Struthio camelus: one gene and its partner. The protein of the gene in region 2 interacts with the protein of the main gene of each other region in a biochemical or structural test. Links are inferred from orthologs where the notes say so. Each region holds a gene or a part of one and is shown on either strand. Other genes may lie near its edges.

What was found.
Region 1: the proteins of OXSR1 (region 2) and WNK4 are reported together in a solved structure, tested with the Homo sapiens proteins (2 studies listed by BioGRID and IntAct, with this or other methods). The link is inferred for Struthio camelus from reciprocal best matches to the Homo sapiens genes OXSR1 and WNK4.

The regions. Positions count from the first base shown.
Region 1 is NC_090966.1:7,833,436-7,841,252, reverse strand, and holds the start of WNK4 (serine/threonine-protein kinase WNK4), read right to left. Parts: upstream 3,084-7,817; coding exon 2,583-3,083; intron 1-2,582. UniProt on the Homo sapiens protein: Serine/threonine-protein kinase component of the WNK4-SPAK/OSR1 kinase cascade, which acts as a key regulator of ion transport in the distal nephron and blood pressure.
Region 2 is NC_090943.1:6,329,894-6,338,147, reverse strand, and holds the start of OXSR1 (serine/threonine-protein kinase OSR1), read right to left. Parts: upstream 3,145-8,254; 5' UTR 3,003-3,144; coding exon 2,933-3,002; intron 1-2,932. UniProt on the Homo sapiens protein: Effector serine/threonine-protein kinase component of the WNK-SPAK/OSR1 kinase cascade, which is involved in various processes, such as ion transport, response to hypertonic stress and blood pressure.

The DNA of each region.
Region 1 (7,817 bases), on a different chromosome or scaffold from region 2:
TGCTTCCTCCTTCCCCCACCGCCCTCGGCACCTATCAACTGAAATAGCCTCGGACCTAAAGCTGGAAAGCGTAAACAGGTCGCGGCGGGTCTGCGGGACGCGGGCAGGAGGCAGGGACGGCCGCGACGCCGAGGACGGGGGTCCCGCGGGAGCGGCGCAGCCCGTGCCTCCGGACGGCCGGCGCCGGGCGGGAGAGCGAGGAGAGCTGCGATTTGGGATCGAGGGACGTCGCAACGGCCGGACAAGGCTCTCAGAGCCGGAACTGCAGGTCAGGGCTGAGGTTAGGTACTCGGTTATATTTGAAAGGCAATAAAAGGAGAACTGTGAAAGACACGGGACAAAGCTATTTTTAAAAGGGCAGAACCACAACCATTTTTATTTGCGGTTACAAATCCCGTATTTGTGTCACAGTGTCTGATTCTTTGCATGGTTGCTGCAGGAAAACAGACTTTTAAAAGTCTGCCTATATGCTTTCAGACCCGAATGGGACGTGGGTTCTGGGACAGGAGCCACGGAGAGCGAGCAGCTAGGGGCAGGGCCGGCAGGCAGGAGGTGGCGGAGGGGAGGAACGGGGAGAGCCACGGCGGCGGGAAGGGGCGCTGCGCCGGGCCGGCCCGCGCCCCGAGGCCCCCCGCGCCGCAGGAGGCCGAGGGCCGCCAGCTCTCCCCGGCGCGGCGGGCACGCTCCCGCGTGGGCGGCTGCACCGCGCGCGAGCGGCTCCCCGGCCCCACGGGCGCCGGCAGCGGGGCGATTCCCTTCCTGCAGCTGGGGGACGCAGCCCGGCCACCCCCAGGGGCGTCTGCCGCAGCGGGGCCGGGGGCTTGGGGCTGCCAGGCAGCGCCGTGCAGCAGCGGGACCTGCCACGCACGCTAGCGGTGAAGCCGGGAGAGCAGGGACGCGCGTGGGCAAAGACAGGGCGCAGACCCACGACGGTCTGCCGCGACGCCAGCCGGGCACGGCTGACTCGCCCAGAGAAAGCCGCAGGGTTTAGCAAGAAACGTCCTTCCTTGTCAGGGCCAGACCGGTTTTCTCAGCAGCACGCGAAGGGATACGAGACGCAAGTGGAAGCGCGGGAGCACTGCAACGGGACGAGGTGCAAAGCGAGGGTGGGACACAGCATGCGCTCAGCGGGCAGCTGGAGCAGTTGTGCAATCCCGCGACGCCGGGCCAAGGCCTCACCTTCCTCGCTAACAGGGAACACCGAGCCCTTCCTGAAAGCATTCACCATTACCTAAGGATCTCTGCTTCCATTGCCAGGCTGCAGCCGTCCCCAGGGATGCAGCAGCGTGCAGCTGCACCAAGGTTTTAGGAACAAGACAACAAACTTGCAAGACACGTTTTTCTGTGTAAACAAGGACTTGGACCTTCCAGCTACAATAGCCACCAGGGCGAAGGAGCCCGTCCGAGACTTTGGACTTAGCGGAAGCCCCTCCCCAGGGGCTCTGCGGAGGAAGAGGGAGCCCCGCAGCAAGACCACCCACGCGCGGCCTCACCCGAGCGGCGAAGGCGTTAGGGAGCCGACCCCCCGCTGCTCCCCTTCGCGCCCTGGCGTTAGCGTCCCGCGGTCGGGCCGCAGGACAGCGAAAGGCACGGCGGGACGCGGGGGGAGACAGGGGCCAGCGCAGCTGCTCCCAGACCTGGAAAGCCGCAGCTGCAGGCGCAGCTAGCCAAGCGTGCCGGCCGCGCGGCAGGGACCTCGGCGCCGCAGGTGCCTACGGACAGCGCCGCAGTCAAGGACGAGCGGCCGGCGCGCACCAAGGACGCGCTGTACCCTGGAAGCAGGCTCAGCACCCAGCCTCAAGCACACTGCGAACACGTGCCCAGCGGCGTGCCCGGGGCTATCGGAGCAGCCCGCCAGCCCTGGCGCAGAGCCACGGGCCGAGGAGAGGGCGCTGCTGTCCCAGACCGCCCTTGCCAGGGGCGAGCGCAGGGCTCAGCCCCCAGCAGCAGGGCTGGATCCACCCGCGAACTCCTGGAGCGGGACCGGCACGGGCAGCGCGGGCGCACCAGGAGCGCTGCCACCGCGCAGCCAGCAACACGGCGAGTGGAAAACAGCACGTGACAGGCGGGAGGGCTGGGAAGCGCCGTGTTAAGCCCGGAGCTGGGCCCAGGCCAGCAGCCCCCGCGCGGCTCCGAGGCGCCGGCCAGCACGCAGGCACCTTCGGGGAGCGAGGGAACCTGAGCCCGGCTGCAAGGACCGCGTCCTGCTCGGCTGCTGCAGCCGGCTGCGGAAATGGCACGGACACGACTAACAACCGCCCGTGCGCTGCTCTGGGCATCCCAAGGGGAGCTGCCTCGCGCTTCCCCCGCGCAGCGCGGCCGCCCCGGGAGGCACCGGAGGCAGCGAGAGGGATTCACGGCTGCAGGGCGGCTGCAGGCGCCAGGGCAACCGGCAGGGGAAGAGCTGCCAAGCGGCCCCGGCTACGGCCCCTCCGTCGGGGCGGGCAGCCCGCGGCGGCAGCGCGGAGGGGCAGAGGCGGCCGGGCCGGGCCGGGCCGGGGTCGGGGCGCCGCCGCCCAGGTGCCGCCCGCGGGCAGGGCTCCCGCAGCCCCCCGGCCCCGACCCCCGGCCCCGGCCCTTACCTGCAGCTCGCACCAGGCCACCTCCACGGTGGTCTCCGTGTCCAGCCCCTTGTAGACGGTCTTGAAGGAGCCGCGGCCGATCTCGATGTCGAACTTGAGGAACCGGCCGTCGGGGGAGGTGGCCACGGCGCGGGTCTCCACCTCCTCGCTCTCCGTCTCCTCGGGCTCCCGGCGGCGCCCGGCGGGCGGCGGCAGCGGCGGCGGCGACCCCCCGCGCCCCGGCCCCGGCCCCGGCCCCGCCGCACCGCGCAGCAGCTCCAGCTCGGCCGAGCTGCGCCGGCTGAAGCGGGCGGAGGCGCGGCGCGACTCGCGCCCCGAGAGCCGCCGGCCGCGGCTGCGGTGCGGCGCCCGCCCGGGGGCCCCCGGCCCCGGTCCTGGCTCCGGCTCCGGCCCCGGCCCCGGTCCTGGCTCCGGCTCCTCCGCCGCGCCGCCGCCGCCCGCCCGCTCCGCCTCGGGCTGGGACATGGCCCCGCCGGCGGCGGCCGGCTCCGCCGCCAGCATCGGCCCGCGGCGGCGACGGCGGCGGCTCGGCCGCTCCCGCGCAGCTTCGCACCTGGCGCCGCCGCCGCCGTCCGCCCGCCGAGCCCCGGCCCGGGCCCCGGCACCGGCCCCGGCCCCGGCCCCGCCCGGCGGCACCGCCCCCGGCCCGGCCCGGCACCGCCTCCCCGCGGCCACCGCCCCCCCTGCGCCGCGGGAGCGGCCCCCGCCGGCCGCGGCACCGGCACCGGGCTCCGTGCACCGCGCACCGGCACCTGCACCGGGCTCCGTGCACCGCACACCGGCACCGGCACCGGGCACCGGGCACCGGGCACCTGCACCGGGCTCTGTGCACCGCGTACTGGCACTGGCACCGGGCTCCGTGCACCGCGCACCGGCACCAGCACCGGGCTCTGTGCACCGCACACCGGCACCGGCACCAGGCTCCAGGCACCGGGCACCGGGCACTGGACTCTGTGCACCAGGCACCGGCACTGAGCTCCAGGCACCGCACACCAGCACCTGCACTGGCACCAGCACCGGGCTCTATGCACTGGGCACTGGCACCCGCACTGGCACTACACACCCGGACACCACACACTGGGTGCCAGCACCCACACCAACACTGCACAGCCAAGCACCAGGCTCCACGCACTGTGCATCAGCACTGTGCACCCAAGCACCACGCACCCGCCCCAGGCTCCATGCCCTGGGCACAGGCACCCGCACTGGCACTGGGCTCCATGCACTGGGCACATGCACCACACACCAGCACCGGCACAGGCACTAGGCACCAGCATGGTCATTGTGCACCTTGCACGAGCACTGGCATGGGCAGCGTGCATGGGCAGCGGGCACCAGCACAGGCACCAGGCTCCACGCACTGGGCATGGGCATGGGGCAGCAGCACAGCTCACCAGGCACCGTGGCCCAGGCAATGCACACCACGCACAGGCACCGCACACTGGGCACAGGCTGCACGTGCTGAGCACCGGTTCTGGGTAGTCTGCACCAGGCACAGGCACTGCGTGCAGGAGCTGCATGCAGCGTCCCTAGCCCCCAGCACCGCTCTGTGCACGGCCCACAGTCCCTGGCACCCTGGCACTGGGCTCCGCACACCAGCACCAGGCACTGCATCCCAGGCACCAGGCTCCGCACACGGGCTGCGCGTGGGCACAAGGTGCTGGGATGGCTGCAGGTCCCAAGGCAGGGCATGTGCCCCGTCCTTCCCCTGCTGCAAGCCTAGCTCTGAGCCCAGCTGCTGTGCAACGGCCATCCCCTCCTTGCAGAGCTAGAAGCGGCTGCCAGCCCCTTTCCCTCCCAGGCTTGAGCCAGCGCTCTGCTCTCCAGCAGCGTTGGAAACAATCCTGGCAATGGGGCTAGTGTAATTGAAGCATCAGACAGGGTGACGCAGGCTACACTGAGCTGTAGGGAAGTGCTTGTTTTAGACATTTACTTAGAGCTTTTAACTTGAGATTTCAGAGCAGCGGGTTTACAAGAAACAGCAGCTGTCCCTCTCCCAGGTTGTGGGGAGCACCTCCTGCCGCTCGCTGTTCTGACAAGCTATCGGGTCCCGCGCCTGTCTGCTCAGCTTGACAGCCCATCCTCTCAGTTTGCTACTGGGTGAAATCCTAAAATTAGGGCCATGCAAATATTAAGGTATGAATGTCTGTTCCAGCCATGCACTAACCCAGAGCGCAGACAAGAGCTTGTTGTCTCTACGGTTTAAACTAAGAAGTTGTTCTACTTAGTGGAACTGTTTACACAAAATACAAAGCAATTGAAGCCGACATTAATTTATTTTCCCTAGGATCAGATTGTTTCTATTCAACGATAAGAGAAACATTAAGGGGAGGATTGAAATAGTAGCCCAGCAATGTCCTCCACACAGATTTCAAATGCTAACCCGGCGTATGCAGGAGGACAGCGAGTGATCCCTGGGCTGCAGCCCTGACTCACAGTACCGCTGCAGCCCACGTCTAGCACAGCTGCAGCCCCACAAATCCCACCCCCCGTCCGGGCGGGAGGAGGGAGACGCATTTAATGAAACGTTGTTTCTGCAGCAGCCCTGGATAGGCCGAGTGTCAAACTGCTAATCTCCCGGGCACAGGCAGGCTTGTGCTACCTTCACATGACCCCGTTCATTCATCCCTGCTTGCCCGGCTCGCAAAACAAAGGAGCCAGGTAAAACTGCCCCAAGAGGAGAATGTGATCGGATGTCTCTTTTTTGCTTGAAAACTGCTAATGTGCAGCCTGGGTTGGTGAGTTGAGAGACGGGACCACATCCTTACCTACATGCGGTGCTCCCAAGAGCGTGCTCAGGGCATGTGCTAGCGGGAGAACAGCCACCCAAGGCTGAAGCATGCACGTCTAAGGTCTGCCCCTCCGCAGCACTCCGCTTGGTGCCTCCTGGGAGGAAGTGCCCCTTGTCCCAAAGCACCAGAGGCTGATTGTTGCCAAAGACAAAAGGCCAGGACAGACGGGCTGATAGGTGTGGCACACACAATGTTCCTGGTGTGGAAGACTGTTGTGTTGTAAAATATGACACAGTTGGACTCCACTCTGCCAAATGAAGTGTTTTATTCAGATGCACCGTTCTGCCAGGGCAAAAACATCTGCCCTTTTCACCAGATCCACATCCAGAAAGGGGGGGGTATCCCAGCTCCCCACGCAAACGCCTCCCACGTGGCATCTCTCAGGCTTCCCGCTTCCTACTGACCTCTCTCCTCCAGCGTCTTGCAGGCTGCACAAAGTTAAAGAGCCCGTGCACAAGCCAGGGGACCATCTGCCAAAGCCCCAGGGGAGGCAGGAGGAGGAGACACGTGAAGAACCATCCTTCATGCCCCATCTTTTGACTTTCACCTCTCCTCCAGAGCCCGTCAAAGCCGCGGGAAACAGGGCTGTAGCTTTCCTACCCATCTAACATATGTCAGGTTTTAAAAGTTCCCTGCTTAAAAAGTAATTGCTTTTACTTTTATCCGGTCCTGACTGCAGCTCTCAGCAAAGCCGGAGATTTCAGTCTTTTCTAGCTGAAAATCCTCCACTTGATCCACAGAGCAGCGAGGGGGAACGTCGAGTGTCGTTCTACAGCCGCCAGAACGGAGGCGAATCCGGACACCGCGCAGCTCCGGCGCAGCCGCTGGGGCCTGCCCCTCAGGGTGGGATATCGATCTCAGCACCACTCAGCGCAGACCGGTCGCTTCCTCAATTAAATAGGAAAATGAATCTATCCGCAGAGAGAAATGCTGCTGCTCTGCAAGGGAATTCCCACCACCTCCGACACGGCAAGCGCTCCAGGGACGGCACGTTCGGCTGCTTCTGGCCCCGGGGCTGTGTCCAGAGGGAGAGAAAACCGATCGCAACTCTCCGTTCCCTTCTGCACAGGGCAAGAACAGGAACGACCACAAGAGAGACTGTTAGGTTCGCTACGGGTGCCTTCCTGACCCGGTCCTGAGGTAGCAAGCTGGACTCAGACCTGGGCTGAAAGCAGAAAGTTCCAGTCCACAATCAACAGCTCATTCCCAGTGCTCAGAAAACACACACAACACCCTTGCACGTTATCAGGGTGACGTCTCTCTTGGGCTTGTGGTGCCAGTGCCAGCCCTTCACTTTGAGGAACCGCTGTAATCAGGCAATTTAACCTATTTTTCGCATGCATTTGGCTGCCAGGAAGAGAACAGGGGACTGTGTAATCACTCTCCTTGGGATTAGATCACTAATCAAAGAACTGTTCAGCTAAGCGCGCCGGTGTCTCCCGTGCTAGCTCCAGCGAGCGCTGCCAGAACTTGTCCGTTCTGACCTCAGAGCTCCTGGCAGCATAAGCGAGGGGCCAAGACGGGTCCAGACACAGAGGAGGTCTGTGTACCTACGAACCTCCTTCAGCCAGTGGTGCCCAGGTGTCTTCTGCATGAGACGGGGATACCCAGTTCAGACTGGACAGCACGGCAAGTGAAACGGCAGATCTGGCTAGTCCGACAAGTGAGTTGAGCTTCCTGGATTTGCCTTAACCGTTGCATATCTTGGAAAGGAGCAGGGAGGAGGCTTCCACTAATACACCCTTTCCTACTAGGAAACGTGTTGGGGCGAACAGGTCCCACTAAAACAGGCACGGAGCAGAAAAAGGCCTTTAGGAGCCAGAAGCAGAAGAAGGGAGCAGGACACAGAGAACGCGTCGCAGGACCAGCGGGAACGGCACGACCAGGCCAGAGCGGCACGAGAGGCGAGCAGGCGGAAGAGGCCAGCTGCGCGGCCCCGCCAGCCTTCCTTCACGCCACCCCTGCCAGGCAGGCGCAGGGTCCAAGCGCTGCCTCGAGCGTAAAGCAGGATAGTACCACCGCCCACGGATGCCGACAGGGAAGGGGACCCGGGAGCTGTTTCCTGGTGGGCTGCGGCACTGCATACCTGCTGGTGCCCCCTCCTCGCTCGTCTCCCTGCGGGCCATCCTTACCCTAGCGCACGTACTGCAGGGAGGGCGAGATGTCATTCAAACCTCAGTTGTGCCTTTAGCTCCAGGCAGATAAGTCTTCTCAGGATTTCCTCAGCCCAGAGTTACAGACGTAACCCGTGTACAAATTCATCCCAGGTTACGTGTTTATCAAACTGGAACAACTCTTGATCCTGACCAGCTGCACTAAATGAAAAAGCTCTGAACCGTTTCCTGCCCGCGAGCAGCGGGCTCGGCGCGTGCGTGGCCTGATAGCCCCTTATCTCGGCAGCAGGCCCCCGCGCTCCGCCTCGCCCTGGCCAGCGAGCCCGCAA
Region 2 (8,254 bases):
CACTTCCTTTTTTTTTTTTTTTGTTTCCCCCCCCTCAAATGAAAGTCAGGTTCTGATCCTAAGCAAGACCTCTTAATTCACTGTAATGTAAGTTATTTAAGCCTAAGGAGGCTACTCAGCACTTAGCCACTCACACTAACCAAGCATAATAAACATAAGCATTAATCTATACCTTTATAATGGCATGAATCATGTCCAGGGCTGAGTAATCTCTTTTTAGTATTAGCTAGAACCAGGAAGGCAGTTTTACAGGAGAAATTATTTATTTATTTTTTTTTTTTTAGCAGCTAGAATGCTTGCTCTTTCAGTTCTTGCACTGAAATAGTACAGAGCCATCCAAGTCATATGAAAGCCACACATGAATATCTTCTGGCAAAAATAGCACAAATAAGGAATTAGATCATGTAGTCAGACATTGATTTCCTTTATTCTGATGTGAAAAATAACTGAGTTGGTAACCTCCTGGACTCAAAATTTAAAGAACATTTTCATCAGAAAACAAGTTAAATCCTTTAAAAGCACTACTGCAAGGTTCACCCCTTTCCACACCAGATCCCTTCTTCGTTCACTACTGAAGAACTTTTACAGTTCTGCAGAAGTCAAAGGAGCTCAGAAAAACCTTGAGGTTTACAAGAGACACGAAGCAGGAGCAGTCCAGCTCAGTTAACACAGTCCAGCTCAGTTAACACAGTGACATTTTGTCCCACAAATGATAAATGCGCTAGAAAATTTGCGTCACATATACATCCAGGGCGCTGGCAGGCACACCAGTGTTGAAAATGAGTAAGATGGGGGGGATGGGAAATTGAAAAAAAAAAAAAAAAGGAACCATATGTTTGTAATATACACATTTCAGCATACTCTCCATTACATTCCAGAATGCCAACACAATCTTTCAATGAGCAGATGACAACCAGAAACTCAAAGTTTACAGAGGAGTAGGGGAAAGACATGAAAGAACTGAAATATCCTATCCCTGATTTTTCTCCAGTGAGACCACAACGTATCTACGTCCTCCTTCTAATACTGTTGGACTATAGGACGTGCGTCTCTAGCAGCAAGTCCTCCTAAGAGCAGGAGCGCATTTGCATTCCCTTTTGTTCCCATCCCACTCCGTTCCCCAGCTACAAAGAGGCAGCTTGTCCTTTCGCTGGATACTCAAAACCTGGCTTTGTGTTATGCGAGAGCACCCCTTCGGAGACTCCCACGGGAGAAGCGCTTCCTGCGAGCACGGGTGCAACTCCCGCAGCTCCCTTTCCTGCGGGGACTGGGAGCCCAGTGGCCTGTTCTTCCCCCCTCTTTGCCCCTGCACCTTTATCTGCTGCTCCTGGAGGAGGCTCGACACCAGCCTCACCAGGGTGCGTCTTCCAGAGGAGGTTTAACGGGATGATCTCCGAGGAGGTTTAACGGGCTGATCTCCGAGATTACGTCTTCCCGGTCTTTACTGATGGTTTGCCTCCTTTCTAAAGCGCTGCTGCTCCCACTAGGCGAAGGGAGAGGATAAAGCCTGATCCAGTGGAGCAACAGGGATTTCCAGAACTGCCACAAGGATTTTTCCCCCCCCCAACAGCTTTAGTTCCTTCCGACTTTCAAACAATGCCAAGAATTTAATCTCTTAAAACAGCATTTTCCCCAAACTCTCCCACCCTTGTTAACAGAAACTAAGTCTCCCTGTTGGGCAGAGATGCAAGGCCTGGGCACGATAGAGCTATGTCATTTATAAATTTCAAGTAAAAGCACTTTACAAAGATTAAACCGAAAATTAACCTCCTTCCTAAAAGCCTCCTGGCCAGGAGCCTGCCCTGCCACCTCCCACTTTGTTTCCTGCCTCCAGAGAGTGACACAAGAGGCACTGACCTTAGCATTGCCTGTGGCACCACCTCAGACGTGTCACACGCGCAACCTAGAGCAATATATCCCTCAAACACACACCCCAGCCGAACGGTTGAGACGGCCAATAAATCAGGACAGCAGGAGGCCTTTGGTAACTGTGTCAGTTTAAAGTCAAAATGTTTTTAAAAAAAAAAAAAAAAAGAAAGAAAAATCATTTACTAGAGAGCAAGGGCCAGGCCTCAAGCCGAGAGGACAATGAATGAAGATTCAGACAATAGTAAAAACCCAGGGAAGAGGAGAAAAAAAAGTGCCACTGCTTTGGTGGCACTACAAAGTCCTCCGTCCCCTGAAGACGCCAAAGCAACAGAGCACCCAAAGCGCCAGGTGCTGCAGCGGAGGCGCCCGGCTGCTCTGGAGGGAGGGAGCCCGTATAAATTTTGGGGTTTGCACCGCAGGCGACCTCACCCCCCACCCCAGCACAGTGGATTCAGCCGGGTCAGTAAGCGACGGGTCAGTAAAGGAGCCCCCAGAGCACAGACCCCGTCCCATCCTCTGCCACCCAGCACGAGGGTGCACTGATCCTCCCCCCCCCAAACCCCAAGCAGCCCTTGCCCTGGAGGGTGTCCCCCCCCCCCCCAAGGGACAGGGGAGCCCCCCCCGCCGTGAGGTATCGGGGGGGGGGACACCAAACCCCCCCACACCCCTCGAGGGGCAGCAGACACCCCCCCACGCACCCAGAGGGTCACAAAAACACAGCAACGGGGCCCCCCCTCCAAATCCAAACATAGCCCCCCCCCCCTTGGGGGGGAGGGAGCAGATCCCCACCACCCCTTCCCTGGGTTTCGGGGGGGGGGGAATAGACCCTACATACAGCCATCATTGAGGGCGGGGGGCATCTGCTCCTCTGCCCCCCCCCATTTGGGGAGCAGACCCCCCCCTCCACACCCTCCACGGGGGGGAACACCACCCCCTCCCTACACAGACCCCCCCCCCAAACAAAGTCCTCCTGGCGGGGGGGGGGACACCCCCCCCCCAAACGGTTACACACACACCCCTCAGATGGGGGGGGGGGGCAGGACCCCCCCCCCCCCGCACTCACCGATCACCTCCTGCAGCTCGTAGTCATCCTTGTTGATGGACCAGGGCAGGGCGCTGGGGTCCTCGGCCATGGCAGCGGCGCGGCGGCCCGCGCGCGCCGCCAGCAACGCAGCGCAGCGGAGCGGAGCGGAGCACACAGCCGAGCCGAGGCGCAACCGCCGCCCCCGCCCCGAGCACTGCCGGCAGCGGCGCCCGCAGCCCCGGCCGCCGCCGCCGCCCGCCCGCCTCCCGCTAGCGCCGGCCAAACTTTGCCTGCTCCCTCCACCTGCCCATGCCCAGAGTCCCGCTGACGTCACCCACCCGCGCGCGCTCCAGCGCCAGCAGGGCGCCGCCCGGCGCCATCTTGAGCGCGGCGCCCCGCCGGCCGGCCGCCCGCTGTCTTTTTGTTTATTCGGCCGAGAAAGGGGGCCGCCGCCGCCGCTGTCCTCGGCCCTCCGCCGCCGTCGCGGGACGGCGGAGGTGGGGGGGAGAGTAGGGCCGCCAGGGAGGAGAGAGTGGGAAGGGCGGGGATGCCACACACAAGATGGCGGCCGCCCGCATCTTCCCCTCCCTCAGGCGAGAGGCGGGAAGGACTGCTCGCTTATAGACCCGCCCCCGACGCTGATTGGCTGCTGGCTATGAAAGCCGAGCTCCTATTGGTGAAAAGGCTGTCGATCCCCCGCAGTCCTTCTCCGGGGTCCCGTCGCCCTCCTCCCGAGAGGCTCCCGTGGGGGGCTGGGGAGAGGGAGGGGGGAAGGGGCGCTGGGCCTGGGGCTGGCGACGGTTTCTGAGGCCAAGTGCCACGAAGGAGGCAGGGCGGCGAGCAGGGGTAGAGCTCGGCCCCGGGTGCCTCAGGCCTCCACTTGCCACACTTTAAAAATAGCATCCAGGGGTTAGGATGGGTGTGAAGGGATCAGCAGGCCCGTTTTGCCCCATCCACCTCCAAAAACGAGCAGTTCTGAAACGTGCCGGCCACCAAACGCCAAGGTGTTTAGACTGCACTTGGGCTGCGCGCAGGTCCGTTGCTGGAGCTGGCGAGGTGGGGGTAGAGACCCTAAAGAAAAGATTAAAAGAACGAGGAATGGGAGGGTCATTTTTACCACGAACTCACATAGGCTGCTGTTTACATTGGTTTCATAGGTGTCTGGAGGTTTTAAATAGTCCTAATAGCCATAACACAGCGTGTTCTTGCTGTCACCACACACAACAGAAACGATCAGGACAATCAAGCAAAATGTGGAATTTCTGTGTCAAGTTGTGTTTTTCAGGCGCTGTTCTTCCTGTAGCTTGATAGCAGACGCTTCTGTGTGGCAAAGAACATCGGCTTTACGTATTTTTAGCTTATTAGGGCAAATTCCTGAGACACGTCTGATGAACCCAGCTTTATAGAGGGCCACGGGACCCTGCCAAACGCGGGGCGTGACTCCAGTATTTTCACTTGCGCTACCTAACGCAGGACAATAACTCCTTCCTTCTCCTCTTCGTTGTCCTACCAAAGGAAATGACCCAGAGCCGCATCTTGCTCGCTGTTGTCCAAACACCGAACAAAGACGGTCTCTGTCCGTCAGACAAAGCTTCCGAGTTAAAAGCTGTTCGGTTTTCCTGCTTGCCTCTGTTACACGTTCCTCTGCCAAGCGATCTCTAATACTTGCTAAATATGCCTTAATTATTGCTCGGAACCATCTCTGTGATCTTTTAGCCGTATAAAAGTAGTTTTTTGTAGCAATTCAAAGCAGGTTTTGCCCCACTCAGGTGAATATTTCCGATAGCTGACCGCGTGTTAAAAATGGATCTGAGCCAGGCGTCAACAACTGAAGAAGACACAGGCCCTGATCCTGAAAATCTCAAAGCACCTACTTAAAACCTTTATAGCCACAGTGATGCGTAGGCTTCATTTTACCACTCTATTTTTAAAGTCTAGGCCGTGTTTTAAATTCTCTTGTTTTGGGGAGAAAATACTCCCCCTGAAGACAACGCTAAAACTCCTTTTGCTTTAGATCGATGGGACAGGATTATGTCCACTATAAGCCTTATCTTTTGAGGAATAGAGTAGACTTTGATAAATAGGAAAATTTTAAATGTGCATTGACTAGACCACCAGTGGCCACATAAGCACACACAAATGAATGATGTATTTTAACTTTTCACCTCTGCGATGAACTCTCCATTTCCATATTTTAAAACCAAAGAGCTCTCTTTCGCATAGAATCTGGATCCCACAGATATTGCGTTTATGTTTTAAATGAACTCACGATGTTGAATCCCTCAAAAGTCAGACGTTGCTGTTGCATTCATCCAGCAAATTGTTTCGATGGGAGTCTGGAGAAGGATGAAAAAAGGGAGCTGGCCTCTGTGAAGTTCTTAACACTTAGCCCACTTCAGATCTTCAAGCAGCACCTTCTCCTGTTTCATCGTTAATATTCTGCTCATCCTACTTTTCCTGATTCGCTTTATTTTGTCTGTCTCATGTAGGTTGTAAGCTTTTCAGGGTAGAGGAAATGTCTCTATTTATAAAACAGCCTGTAAAGTGGTGCTGCCGCGGCAAGTGGTTTGTTGTAATAACAAGACATTTTAGTAGAAGTCTGAAGTGGAAAAGCAGTTGCCTGCGTATCCACCTCCGCTCTCTACCAGGCATTAGGGAAGAGTGAGAAGTGGAAGAACTCTAGACTTCTTTCTGGTAGGAAAGCTACAGTCTGAGAAAAGGTCTCAGATCTGGGTTTGCTATACTTCTTGACTTAAAATTTAATATCTCAATGATTGGAGCAGGCGATCCCCTCCTCCCATTGCTTCTGCTGCTGCATAAAGGCTTTACCCTGACCGCTGTGTTTCATCAATGTCCCTGGGGCTGGTGTTTCCTCCCAGCTGGCTCTGAGCCTTTGGAGATGGCTAGCTCACAGGTCTGTGCACACCTGTGTGCACACAAAAGGCTTTCATCCTCATAAGGCATATGCTCTAGAGGACCCTGCTTGAGCAGGGAGGTTGGACTAGATGATCTCCAGAGGTCCCTTCCAACCTAAACGATTCTGTGATTCTGTGATTCTGTTTCCTGCCTTTGAGAGGACAATTACATGCTATTTCAATGAAACTTAATGGCACAGACCAGCTTTGCTTTTCTTTTTTTTTTTTGGCTCATATAATAGTGGCTATCATAAAACCGATATTTAATGGGTGGGATGGTGACTCTAATATTCTGTGCAAAGTGAATAGCTTTAGTACCTGTAAAGGGTCCTCAATGGTAAGATATCCTCATCATCAGTGTGATCATAAGTAAACTTTATTTACACCGGGACTGTAGAAAACTAGCCTTAATAACTCCAGTTTGCCTATTGAGGCATTTCAGATTTCAACTTACTCTCAAATATAGTTTTCTTTTTGGTACAGTTAGCCTGGAAGTTGCTCTTTCGGAACAGTCATGCAGAAGCATGTAGTGTCACAGTTCAGTTGTGTTTTAGGCTATGGAATTTGCTGCCGCGTTTCTAGTCAAAGGCTTTTTAAAGCATCATAAACTGCTGCTCGTAAGGGACTGCGCATTAGCTACCATGATTCTCACAAACAGTAGCAGTTAATGTGCTTATTGAACTGCTTGGTACGGTCGTGGTTTACCAAAGCAAGAGGGAGCCTAACAATGCCTGTCTTATTACATTCATAATAGTGCAAGCGTGCTCTGGCAAGGAGAACGCTCGACCTTGTTTCACTACAAAATTTGCCTGCTATTCGTTCTTGATGGAAATACTTGCAGGTTTATTGAAGGGAACTTAGTCCATCAAACGGTATCTGATTATTTAACAAAGGGCAAGGCTCTTTGGTCTGTAGCCAACAAATACAAGCATGCAATTTATCTCCGGGGATTTCTCATGCCATTTTTGCTTTGGTTTTTGAGAAATGAGGCAAGGACCGTGCAGTGAAGTAAGGAGCAGTGATTTAAAATCCTCTGATCGGAGCAAGTTTTTAATAATCAGTTTGGTGGAACGTTTTCAAACCACAAGCCAAATGCCAGTGTCAACCACGTCGGCAGGTTTCTATAAATGATCCTGTGTACTACCACGTATCTCCACCCTGTCATTCACGGGTAGCGTGCTAAGTCATTTTAAATTCTCCTTTGAGGTCACTTTGAAGTCAAGTAGCTGAAGGCCCGGTTCTAACAGGTGAATTCTGGTTCTCACAGTCTGTTTACTGAAACCAGCTTTCACTCTGCAAACACATTTCTTATCCCATCATCACTGCCTCTCAGCTAGCAGAAACGCTACACTATTCTCCTACTTTCTCCGCTGAAAATTATGCCCCAGATTTTAAGCATTAGGAAACAAGTAAAGCGCTTATGACCAAGACAAGGTCGTACTTCTTTCTCTTTTATTCTAAGTTTATGCTTTTTAGTGTATAAATTGAAAGCCAATTAACGCTGTCAGTAACAGATCACAGCTTTGCTGCCTCCTTGAAATCTAGTATAAAATTGATGTTAGGTTTACGAAATAGTTAATTAGAACAAGATCTTGATTACCATGTACTGGAACTACATTTAATAATCAGTTCTTGCTCTGCTCTGGAATACAATAATACTTTCTTCATACTGCTTTGTCCTCAAAGAAGCTAATAAAGGACATTTCACATGTCCACACCTCTGTCAGCTGTGAGAATCTAGTTATCTCTTTGGAACAGCTTCTCCGGACAGAAGGGTTTTCCCTCTGGCCTCTTCTGTGAATGGTAAATCTCTATCATAAAACATTTTCTGGACAGCCGAGCAAGTCAGGGGGGATTGATAATGTGTTTCAGAGTTTTTCTGCTCTGCTTTGAAAGTGCAAAAGAAATCTGATGCAAACATCCAGGCCCTAATGCACCAGTGTGTTCACCTGGGCTGTCACTGCTTTGTCGTTTATGAAGAGAGGCCAAAGACTGATGCTTGGTCTGTTATGTAACACTTTGCATGACTATATTTAAGAGTGCTTCAAACATGTTAATATTCAATAAAACTCTTAAAAAAAATAGTAGAGACAGAAGTCCGGACATTAGATGCTATAACGGTGCCAGAGAAGATCCCCTCCTTGCCGCTCGCTGCAGCAGACAAGTCCTGAGCGTCCCTGGGTACTTAAATCTCCTTTTCAGGGCCGGTCGTGGCAGGTCTTTTGGTCAGTCCTGAAAACAGCTCTGGGAGGAGACACCGGTGCTCCCTGTTGATATTGTGTGGGTAGTCCGCCAGCCTGGGAGCGCTCTGACCAGATCTGTCCGCTTTACAGCTGGTAAATGCTTTGGAGAAATAAAATAAAACATGTTCTGTAACAGGGCAATGAAGGAAGATGAATTCACTTAAAATGCAAGGAGAAAAAGAAATAGAAATAAGAAGATAGAA